Drosophila melanogaster: one gene and its partners. The protein of the gene in region 1 interacts with the protein of each later gene in a pairwise test. Each region holds a gene or a part of one and is shown on either strand. Other genes may lie near its edges.

Region 1 (3,754 bases):
TCTCTGAACAATTAATCAATCAGTCCATCAATCGAGTTAGCGGAACATTAAGTCATTAGCCTGAGCAATTTGTTTGCTTTAAGTGGATAAGGTATACGGCTGACTAGATAGTTTATGACCGGCTAATTGCTATACTTCTTGTTCTGGATCGATTTAAAAATAGCTCTCTGCTACTGTTTCTATTAACCCAATATCGGGTTTAGTCTTAGCAAAAGCTTGGGTGAATTAAAAAAGCTCTTCTTCAAGACGAAACCAAACTATCAGGTTTGCGATAAAATTGTTTTGGCAAAAAAATTAAGCTGTGATACGTGTATTCTTATGAATATTTATATTTAATATGACAGCAAAAAAATGAGAGTTTTAAATCCAAACTCCATGGCGTACCTAACTGATAAAAACAAGCCCCATATGGCGTCGTGGTCGAGGTATCTGTTTGCCCAATTAAACAAATTTTTCGACGCGAAGAAAAACGTTTCGTTGATTTATGATACTCAGCACTTCCGTTTGGATCCGCAGATTCTCCGACTTGTATAAAAGTACAGGAGTCGCCGGTCTAAGATATTATTCGGTTCGTTGCTCCTAAAGCAAACAGATCATCTAAAATGGTAAGGATCTCCCATCTGTATTGCGGATTATATTAGTTGGCATATTATTCTATTTCGATTTTTCCCTGTAGAAATTCTTTATCTTGACCTTGGCCGTGGTTGGCTGTGTGGCCGCCGAATCTGGCTACAACTACAATGCTCCCCGCCAGGTAGCCGCCTCTGCCCCGGCTCCTGTTTTCCAGCAAGCTGCCTCTGCTCCGGCTCCAGTGAGGACCTACGTGCCCCCAGCTCCAGCTGCCTCTGCCCCAGTGCAGTCGTTTGCCCCTGCCCCAGCTCCAGTAGCTGCTCCTGCTCCCGTTTTCCAGCAGGCCGCCTCTGCACCCGCACCAGCCCGCACATACGTGCCTCCCGCTCCCCATGTCCACCACCATGCCGCCGCCTCAGCTCCAGCTCCCGTTCAGTCCTTTGCTCCTGCTCCAGCTCCCGCCCCCGCCCCCGTGCAGTCCTTCGCCTCTGCTCCAGCTCCTGCTTTCGAGTCCTCCGGACCGGTGTTCGAGGCCGCAGCTTCCGCCCCCTCTGCCGCCCGCTCCGGATACGATTATAGCCAGCCCGCCGCCAGCCAGCAGGGATACAAGTACAAGACCGTCCGTCGCCGTGTGTTCAAGCACCGCGCTTAAACGATGATGATGATACGATAAAATGCGACAATAAAAAACTCGAATATTAAATTTATAAAAACATAGTTTTATTTGAGCATTAAAACACTAATAAAGATAATATGATAATTTGATAATTAAACAAGAATGATATGGTGTATAGTTTTAGCAAAAGAAGCGCGCAAAAAAAAAAACTATAAAACCTAAAACAACATTTCAAAAGTGCTAAAATTCTTGCTAGAAAAGAAAAAAAAAATCGCAAAATTAAATTTTATTAATAATTGTTAGTTAGTACTGGAGTGCAGTTTTTCTTATCCATAACTAACAATCAGTTGTTAATGATAAATTAGTTTGAAGCTTCAATTGTATTACTAGGCCAAATTCACACCTGGAAACGAAGTTCAAAGAACCCATGCGTTATCGCATAAGTGTGCAGCGCACTTGGGCCAATAAATTTAAACGCTTTGATCTGACAAATTTACGGGACACTTTCGTTGTGCTTCAGAATATTCAATAGAATTTAAATTGGCGGCTATTCAATAAGAACAAATGGGTCACATAAAGCGCGGAATCGATTTCTCACGCTCGGCAACAGGTTTCGCTTTCAACTGTGGTCTTTTTTGGGGGCTCGATGTGGGGATGCAACAAAAAAGATCCCGAAGAGAGTATATAAGTTGCATCTACAGCTGCTTACAGTCACTGGCACTTTAGCAATGGTAACGGATCAACGATAGGTTCTAGGTTCCGCATTTCACCAATCCATTTTTATTTTAGAATGTCCTCGTGATCCTGGTTCTATGCCTTATGGCAATCGCATGTCTGGCGGACGTTTCCCATGTGAAACACCACAAGCACCAGCGGCATCATCACTCCAGGGATCACGAAGATGACGATGAGGAGTCCCATTACCTACCTCCCCACGAGGAAAAGGAGGTGGAGCAACCTTTTTACAAGAAGGAGAAGCACACCAGTGAAAAGGTGGTTTACCACAAGGTAGAGGAGCACGAGGAGCCCAAATACTACAAGGAGCATCAACATGAAGAGCCCAAAAAGCAGCGAGTGGATCACTACCATCACTATGACAAGAAGCCAGAAGTAAAGACCCAGCACATTCACTACAAGCATAGCAAGCCCCATGTCCGTACGGATTACAATCAGGACTTGTTCACCCCAGCTGCTACCCAAGTGGTTTATCGCCGCCGTCGTCCTAGTCGAATTCTATACGCCAGTGCCCCCAACTCGGTGTTCCACACCCACACGCAGATCAACGTGCAGTCCCAGGATTCGGAATTGAATTCCCTTACTCGCCCAGATCGTGCAGCAGGAGCACAGGATCCTGCTGGGGCTCAAGCACCGACTGGAGCCCAGGCACCAGGATTTCGACCCAACTGCCAGTTTGTTGGACCTGGAAACGTACCACCTGGCTGTGGACCCTCTGATCCCATAGGTGCTCAGCTACCAGCCAGTGCTTTGGCTCCCACTGGTGCTAATCTTCCGGCCAATCAACCTGTTGCCGGCGGACAATTGGCTGTTCTGGGTAACGGTCAGCGACCTCCACGTCCAGGTGGCTATGGAGGTGGATATGGCAACCGACTCAACTTTTTTGTTGATCCTTCGCTGGGCGCTCAGCTGGGAGCCATAGGTAATGCTGGAGCTGGAAATCAACAGGCTGCCGGAGGAGGTCAGCTTGCGGGAGGAGCTCAACTTGGAGGGAGCCAAGGATTCGACCCTTCCTTTGGTGCCCAAGCAGCTGCCGGAGGACCATTTAACACTGGTTTTGGAGCTGGTCAAAGACCTCAAAGACCTGCGCAAAACCAATATGATCCCAACCTTCAGCTAGGTGGCCCTTTTGACCCCTCCGTGGGTGCTCAATTGGGCGCAGGTCAGGGTGTTTCTAACCAAAGACCAAGTGGACAGGGAGCATTTGATCCTTCTACAGGTGCTCAATTGGGCGCAGGTGAGGGTGTTTCTAACCAAAGACCAAGTGGACAGGGAGCATTTGATCCTTCTACGGGTGCTCAATTGGGTGCAGGTCAGGGCTTTAACCAGAGACCAAGTGCACAGGGAGCATTTGATCCTTCGACAGGTGCCCAACTTGGAGCTGGACAAGGCGTGCCTAACCAGCGACCCAATGCAGCTGGACCAGGAGCTTTTGATCCCAATCAGCGACAGTCCGACCCCTCCATTGGAGCCCAATTGGCAGCGGGACAAGTACCACGCCTCAACAACCGACGACAGCGCAATCGATCCAACTACCAGGGTCTCAATGTGCTGAATGGAAACGTTTTCGGACAACCCCATCTCCAGGGACCCACAAATGCGCTGGGAAATCAACAGGACACCAACATCATAGACGGCAACTTCTACAGCGATCCTCATCATGGACACCAGCGGGCTTTGGTATCGGTTAATCCTAATCAGCGTTCAGTCCTTATACCCGATGACGATGATGCGGACGATGATGGGCAGCTAGGATTTCTGGGCTTTGCGGCTAGTAACAAGCAGTCCTCTTATGTGGTTGCTCCCAAACAACTGCGATCTCATAGGCGCAGT
Region 2 (3,754 bases), on another chromosome or scaffold:
GCGCGTTCCTTCTTCACAATCTTAACGAGATGGGGGCAGCAGTGGCCTTTGTGCGCAGACTTTTGGACCCCCGGGTCATGGATCATGTGCATGCATAATGCGACCGAGTCAAGAAGTCCATTGTATGTATGTACATAATTTATTTAAATTTATTTGTTGTTGCAGCGCAAATTTTCCGCGGTCATAAGTATTTCATTCGGTGTCAGCGGCTGACGCGAACTACGAATTATATGTATCTTTACTTGCTTACATGCAAAATGTCAAGTGATGGGTTCAAGTGTAACATTTCTAATGATTTTTAATAACTATTCTTTTCTCTTTGAATAACATATAACAATTAAATAGTGCAGTTTTTAATTAAATATAGACCTTAATTCAGTACATTTTTACAAGACTTATTTCTCTATAAGTCCTTCAACTTTTATACTTGAAAACTCTTTGGAAAGAATGCAAGCTCAATTACTTTTTTTTTTGACTATCCTCGAGATCTGCATCTTTGCATGATGGCCAAATATTTTTATTTAATTCTCGTTGCGCGAAAATTCCAACCGAAACCGCAAAAAAAGCGACAAAAATATTTTGCATACACTTGTTTTTGTTTCTATTTTCATTTGTTTTGCGGCATTTTGCGGCGAGAAAACCAAGGAATTTGCATAACAAAGTGAAGTGACGCTTGATGGGGGAGGGGGCATGGAGAAAGGGGAACTAACAGCATACAAAAACAGAGAGACAAAGAGACCGACAGAGAGACAGGATGGCAGACGGAGAGAGCAGTTGTTATTTTTGGCACAGCCAGTGTGATGGGAGGGGAAGCGGGGGAGGAGTTGTTTACTTAGGCCAGGTTAATGCACCGCAGATTAACAACAATTAAGATGCGGGGGAGCGAGAGGGAAGAGGGAGATAGGGAGATGAGCCAGACGGAGATAGCACACGTACCTTTATCGGGAAGGGGACGCAGAGTGGGGGCCTCCTGTTGCTCCTGCCACTGGACCTTCCTGTAGCCGCTGCTGCTGCTGCGACTATTGATGCGCCCGCTGCTGTTGCTGCTGCATCTTTCCACGGCGACCAACAACAACAGCAACAAGATCCATGAATTCGCTGTCGCCGGCATTATGCCGCTGGCCGCTCTCCTCACACACACGCTACCACGCACACACAGACGCGCGCGCGACTCTCCTTGTTGTTGTTCTTCTTCTTGCTCTCCTTCGTGTTGTTTCAGCCTTCCTTTTACACAATAACACAACACTCACACACTCACAAACTCGAACTCACACCAAACACACGTAAACCGGGGGTGGCAAGCAAATCACAAACAGGTAACTTTTTTTTACTTAGATTTCCATTGAAACATGCATTTTGTTTGTTTAATTTTTCGAAACGCTTTACGCGCTCAGAATTCGCTGCACATTAGTACACCGCACTCAATCACTTCAGCATCCCTCATGCCGCGATTTTCTTATCCGCCAAACACAACGGAAAAAAACAAATATTAACTCATTATATTTTGCCGGCTGTTTTCACCGAAGCGGCGTGATTTCCCGTAATTTTTTCTTCGACTTCAGCAGCACGCACGACCGCTCGATTCTATTATATTTCGATCTCTGCTCTGCGAGATTTGCGCGAAGCGACCGAACACCTTCAACTGCGTTTACCGATTGAAGCGCTCCAACCGGTTAAATACTACGCGCAGCTATTGAACAGTATTTTTTACAGCCGCGACTCCGGTCACACCGTCGATGTTTGTGTGATGAAGAAATTTAACAGTGCTGTTAATTGGCCACACAGAAATTGTAAGGCGCTAATTTCAAATTAATTTGATTTATAATCACCTCATTACTTTTAATGGGGATATTTGTTCCAAAAACATGTATAATCCAGTTCTACGTAATCGACGTTGTCGATGGTAAAAACACCACACACAAAACAACACACAACATTACTGTGATGCTTACTGTAATAATTATTTTATAACTCTTTTTAATACTATTATCAATGATTCCCGGATCTCTGGATGGGCGGCGAGGGCATGGCCGTCTGGCGATGCCATAAATATCAACAAGTGCTAATTAAAAATAAAACAGAGGAAGGCCCTTAATAAAAAAAGCTCTGTTAGACAGAGAACGCACTTTTCGTTTTTTAGTCACAAATCGAACGGCCGGCAGTTGTCAAAATATTTTGATTTTTCAAATTTTCCGATAGCTCAATACAAATCCAAAAATACCCACCGAACAGAAAAATTTTTAAGAATTCCATAATTGTCTGTACCCAGAATGCTGCGCCAACTACGGGTAAGCCCTGGAAATGTACCCGAACCGGTTGCATAAGACTGCAATTGAATGCAATTTATGCAGTTTTTCTACATATGTACATTTTCTATTTTTATTTTCGTAACGCCCAGTTGACAATGGATATTTCGGGTTGGATCTTCCTCCCGTGGAGACGCTCCATGTCCAACATGAAGGACTCTCCTCCACCGCCACCACCACTGGCCAGCACTTTCAACGACGTGATTGTGGACTACGAGGACCCGGATTATCTTCCACTGCCGGAGTATCCGGTGCGTCCAAACGAGCCGTTGGAAACTCGCAAGCAACGGTGGGTAAAATTATTAACTATTAATTAATAACTACTACTATAACTATACTTTACTTTATTCTATACTTTACTATACTTACTTTACTTATAAGGAAAATCATTAATTAAAAGAGCTCATATTTAATATATATATTTTCCCTTTGCTCTCATCCACCATTGCCTTAAACACTTCCATTTATGAACTCTACTTTTTTTTAAGAAAGCATGACAACCTCTATTTAGAAAAATTTATACTATTTTAATTTTAAAATGTAGAACAGAAAAATAGGATTTAAACTCCAAGTTTCTTTTTTCTTCATCATCGATCGCACTTCTTAATTTTGCATCAGTTGTACAACCAACTAAGCTATTCTTTCCATAAGTATTTTTTAATATTAACCAGAAAAACACTTCACCTCCAGGCTTTTGTACCAATCGCGCAAGCGCGGAATGCTGGAGAACGATCTTCTGCTGAGCACCTTTGCGGCCAAGCATCTCCAGAACTTCAGCGCCGAGCAGACGGCGCAGTACGACCAGTTGATCAACGGGGTCAGCAACGACTGGGATATCTATTACTGGGCCACCGAGGTGAAGCCCACGCCCAAGGAGTACGACACGGAGATCATGGGGCTGTTGAAGGAGCACGTCAAGAACGCCGAACGGGTCACGCGACTCCGCCAGCCGGATCTGAATATTTAGGCATGCACCTGGTGCTTATGAATATGATTAGTTAGAAGTTTATATGATCCAGGAGATCATATCCTTACCACAATAACCAAAGCGCAAATATGTATGTTTAGAATACCAAATATAATCAATATTTAAAGTTCTGGAAGTGAACAACCTAAACTAGCACCGCTCGAACACCTTGTACAGAGTGGGCAGGTTAGTGAGCTCGTAGATCTGATCCTTGATGCGTGGTGGTGGCAGAAGATATTTTTTAAAGGCAGGAAATAGAACGTGTTCCATTGTCCATCTGGAAAAGCCCGCAGTCGCACCTTCCCGCCAATCCAATTGCGCGTAAAATCGAGCAGTTTCCCTACAGAATGTCTCGAAGCATCGTGTCTCCTGCTCCCAGTCCACTTCGGTGGCCAAGCGGAGCAGGTAAACAGGCAGGTGGGCCACACAAGGTCGATGCTGGTGCAGCAAACTGGGCAGAGATTCGAGCATTCCATCCTCC
Region 3 (3,754 bases), on another chromosome or scaffold:
ATGTACGACCGCCAAGAGACATGTGGATGGGGAAATGTGCAATAATTATGGCGCAATCATTGATTGGCCGTAGTATCCTTAAGCATTGTCCTTTGGGCTAGCCAAGAGTCGAGGGACCGTTTCAATAGTTCTCTTTTTTTGTGATTTTTTTTGGTATGTCGCAGCTAACTAACTAAATGTAACTAAATAATTATTGACTACGAATTAGGCCATTCTTCAGGAAAGTCTTAGAGGGATAGGTTGTGGAAATGGTGATGAAGTGGGGGGAAGTTGAAGAAGGGAGACGCTTTGGTAGGATAAGATATAGCAGGTGAAAGATAGAGGCTAGTACAGAGTGGGATGGATGGATCGGTGGGTGTTTTCCGGCTTAGAAGGGCTGGGCCAGACCATAGTGGTTGTAGGCCAGATCGGCGGCACCTGCCTGACCATTGCGGCTCCAGTCGGAGTGCACGATGTCGGCGTTCAGCGGGCTGCCGGTGATGTAGGCAGTGGTGATGTGTTCCTTCTTCTTGGCCAACAGATCCTTGAAGAAGGTGGCACCTGTGCGGGAAACGTGGGTAAAAAGTGCTATTCCTGAGATCATTAAAAGTAAACTCACCAGCCAGGATGAGGGCCAGGAAGGAGATGGCCAGAGCCTTCAGCGAGATGAACTTGATGATGGTGAACATAATCTTGACAACGACGGCCTTCTTCAGCTTCAGGGCCAAAAGAAGGGGCAGCAGCATCTTCTTCATGCGCTTGCTGCGGGACTCTGTTTATTCCGGGAGGGAGAAAGTAAAGAGAAATCGGGGTTTTAGCCATGCTCCTAAAAGTATTCAAGGCCTGGCAGTCGAGGTAAAGCTTTCACTTCGCTTCCCGTCAGCACAACTGAGTATGCTAGTAGTTTTGCTTTTGGCAGTTGGCTTTCTGCACAGCAGAGTGGACCTTAGTACGTTTAGCCTTAGTAAGTAGACTTTGAAGTGTTCGTTTACCGTACAGAACAGGAACGACTTGAGAGCCAGGACGGTTTACCAAAGCTATTCTCGTATGCGCACGAATGCCTCTGTTTTTGTAGTAATTAATAAAAATGTAACTTATAACTCGTTTAAAATTATTTCAAAATTCTTTGGCTATCAACTCACGTATTTACTACCATTCTATCGATTTATGTCTCTCAAAAACATACAAATTTTTAAATTCTGACCTAATATTAAGTATCTAAGATATTCAACGCAATATGAAAACTTTAAAAGCAAGTAGCTTAAATAGCTTTTTTTTCTTTGGATTAAACTATATTCTGTTTTTCAAATAAAGGAAACCAAGATCACTCACCATCCATGGCGCGTCCGGTGTACTCGTTCTCGGAGTTCTCGTCCTGCTCATCGCCGGAGAAGGAGAGGTTTAGCTCGTGGGTCTCCAGGTAGCGCTCGGCGCGGTCCTCGAAGGACTCGACGGCCTTGGATGCACCGAAGCTACGGCCCGACTCCGACCGGTCGATCCTCAGACCGCCGAACAGCGCGACGGACTCCTCGCTGTCTAAGCGGTTCAGCATGTTGACCAGGTCCCGCTCGGTGTTGTCCTGGGAGGGAAGGGCCATGGAACCGCACACAAGGCTGGCCAGCAGCACTACACATACGAATTTCGCGCACATTTTTATTAGCACTTGGGGGTGTCTTGACTTTGGGTAGGTTATAATCCGTGGGACGGCTGCCTGGAGCTGGTGAGTGCTGCCGATGTGAACGGGAATCGCTTTGTGATTAATTGAATGCACTGCCCCCGCGTTTTATACCATTTCGATTTGACGTCGATTGACCAATTTTGTGGCTAGAAATCGCGTGGCAGGCCAAAAATCCAAAACGCACCGCTCGCCGCTGCAATAACAATAACAATACCGAACGGCAATACCAAAAATCCAAAAGCAATTTATGCAAAGCATATGCGTATGCTACCTGGCCGGCAGTTTCTTGACCATATTTCCACGCACGTCGCGATGTCAACGAAAGGGAAGTGGCCAGTGGTCGGCCGGCTGAATATTATTTTTTTGTATATACCATACATATATTTTATATAAGCAAGTGGCCCGATTTCGGGTGCTCGACCGTTATCCGTATCCTAATTGGCATTCAATGGAGTCGCCGGTGCTACGTGTTGGGATTGCCTGCGCCAGATTCTTGGCCGGTTGTTCCTCTCCATTAGCTCCATCAGGGCTCACGATGGAGCGGAGAATATAGTGGTGGATCTGCGAGACCCACACGTATTTGGTATGCCCCGCCGGTGGTGACTTAATGCACAATTTGGCCCAGTTAGTTACTCTGGCGCTTTCAACGCTTTCGATTTCATTCTCCCTTTGTCAACTGTCGTTCGTGGCTTGTTTTCTATTTCAATTGCTTCTAAATCTGCCTGTGAAAGAAAGCTGAATTGTAGCACATCGCCGCATATATCTCTTTTCAATCGCAAAGTGACACTTTTATGAGCATAAGTAGAAAGTTTCTGGCAAACAATTAACATGCCGAACGGCCGTCACATGGCCACTAGAAACTCCAATTATGAGCAGGCCACCAACTTGCCAAAAACTAAATCCCCAGCTTATCAGCTCTTTTTCTCAACATTTTCTGTGTTCTTTTGGGTTTTTTTTTGTGTTCAGAAACAGAACCTGCCACAAGTTTTAATTGCCAGCCGCAAACTTGTTGCCGCCCAGCGAGCAAAGTTCCACATATTTGTTTTGGGGTCTGTCAGCATTTCAATTAAGCCCTGGGAAACTGGGAAAGTCTCTGGGCACAGGTGAGCACTGTCCACGTGCGTGGATTTGCGGATTATATTTTTTTCGGGTGCAATACTCTTGGTTTTATTCATACATTCGACTTGACTTGCGGGTGATGTGTGCGTGGTGTGTCAATAAATTAGTTAATTACATTTCGAATAAATTACTACAGGCTAAAGGTTTCAAAACGAAGGCACATCTGTTTGAGCTGTCTCCCAGCCGCTTCTACTGCTGCTGCTGGCCGGCGTAGGCCAATTGCTGGGCATCGGACCCATCCTCGCTGATGCTGCGGGCATAGGGATAGGACGAGGAGGCTCCCGAGCTCCAGCCGGCGCTGGCGGGTGCGGACCATGCGTTCGAGTTGTAGGCTCCGGCAAAGGAGTTACCTCCGAACTTGTTGCCGAATCCGCCCAGCAGGCGGGATCCGCCGACCAGAATGGCCAGGAAGAAGGCCAGCTTGGCCACGATCACGGCCTTGAAGGTCAGCAGGGCCAGAAACCCGAGCACCAGGGGAATGACGGCGAACAGCTTGGCGCCAATGGCCAGAGCCACGGGTCCCAGCATCTTCTTGATCTTGCCACGGCCTGTGATTGGATGTTAGGTAACCATGTTTTATCGTATCCCAAGTCAAAACCCACCTTCATCGAGGGCACGAGCCACCTGCTGGGTGGTCTCGGCGGGCAGCTTGAACTCCAGGTTGTGGGTGCTTAGGAAGTCGGCGGCACTAGAGACGGCCAGATCCACTAGACGACCAGTACGCTCATCGGCATTCTGGGGCAGCTCGGCATAGACATCCTGCTCGCTCATCGATTTTCCCGTGCGGGAAACGGGACTGGCGGGATCCCTAAAATGATATTGTAAGTTATAAATACATTTTCACATTTACTTAACTTTTATGACAACTTATATGCCGAATGCCTCTAATGTCTTATTATACCACTTTTAAATTTACTGTCATAATTTTTGGAATTATGTAAGAATTCCAATAATAATTAACATTAATTATGAAGTGTT

Evidence for each region.
Region 2: the proteins of CG11349 (region 1) and CG14757 interact in a two-hybrid assay, tested with the Drosophila melanogaster proteins (one large-scale study listed by BioGRID).
Region 3: the proteins of CG11349 (region 1) and Osi15 interact in a two-hybrid assay, tested with the Drosophila melanogaster proteins (one large-scale study listed by BioGRID).

Annotation. Positions count from the first base shown.
Region 1 is NT_037436.4:4,471,163-4,474,916, forward strand, and holds the start of CG11349 (uncharacterized protein), read left to right. Parts: upstream 1-1,905; 5' UTR 1,906-1,914; coding exon 1,915-1,917; intron 1,918-1,975; coding exon 1,976-3,754. Other genes in the region: CG32248 (uncharacterized protein), read left to right, coding at 603-605, 677-1,222.
Region 2 is NT_033778.4:8,172,014-8,175,767, reverse strand, and holds CG14757 (uncharacterized protein), read left to right. Parts: upstream 1-2,154; 5' UTR 2,155-2,270; coding exon 2,271-2,288; intron 2,289-2,398; coding exon 2,399-2,595; intron 2,596-2,996; coding exon 2,997-3,273; 3' UTR 3,274-3,404; downstream 3,405-3,754. Other genes in the region: LRP1 (LDL receptor protein 1), read right to left, coding at 937-1,111; Mlh1, read right to left, coding at 3,424-3,754.
Region 3 is NT_033777.3:6,299,789-6,303,542, reverse strand, and holds the start of Osi15 (osiris 15), read right to left. Parts: upstream 1,740-3,754; 5' UTR 1,631-1,739; coding exon 1,312-1,630; intron 752-1,311; coding exon 599-751; intron 541-598; coding exon 368-540; 3' UTR 1-367. Other genes in the region: Osi14 (osiris 14), read right to left, coding at 2,966-3,324, 3,379-3,584.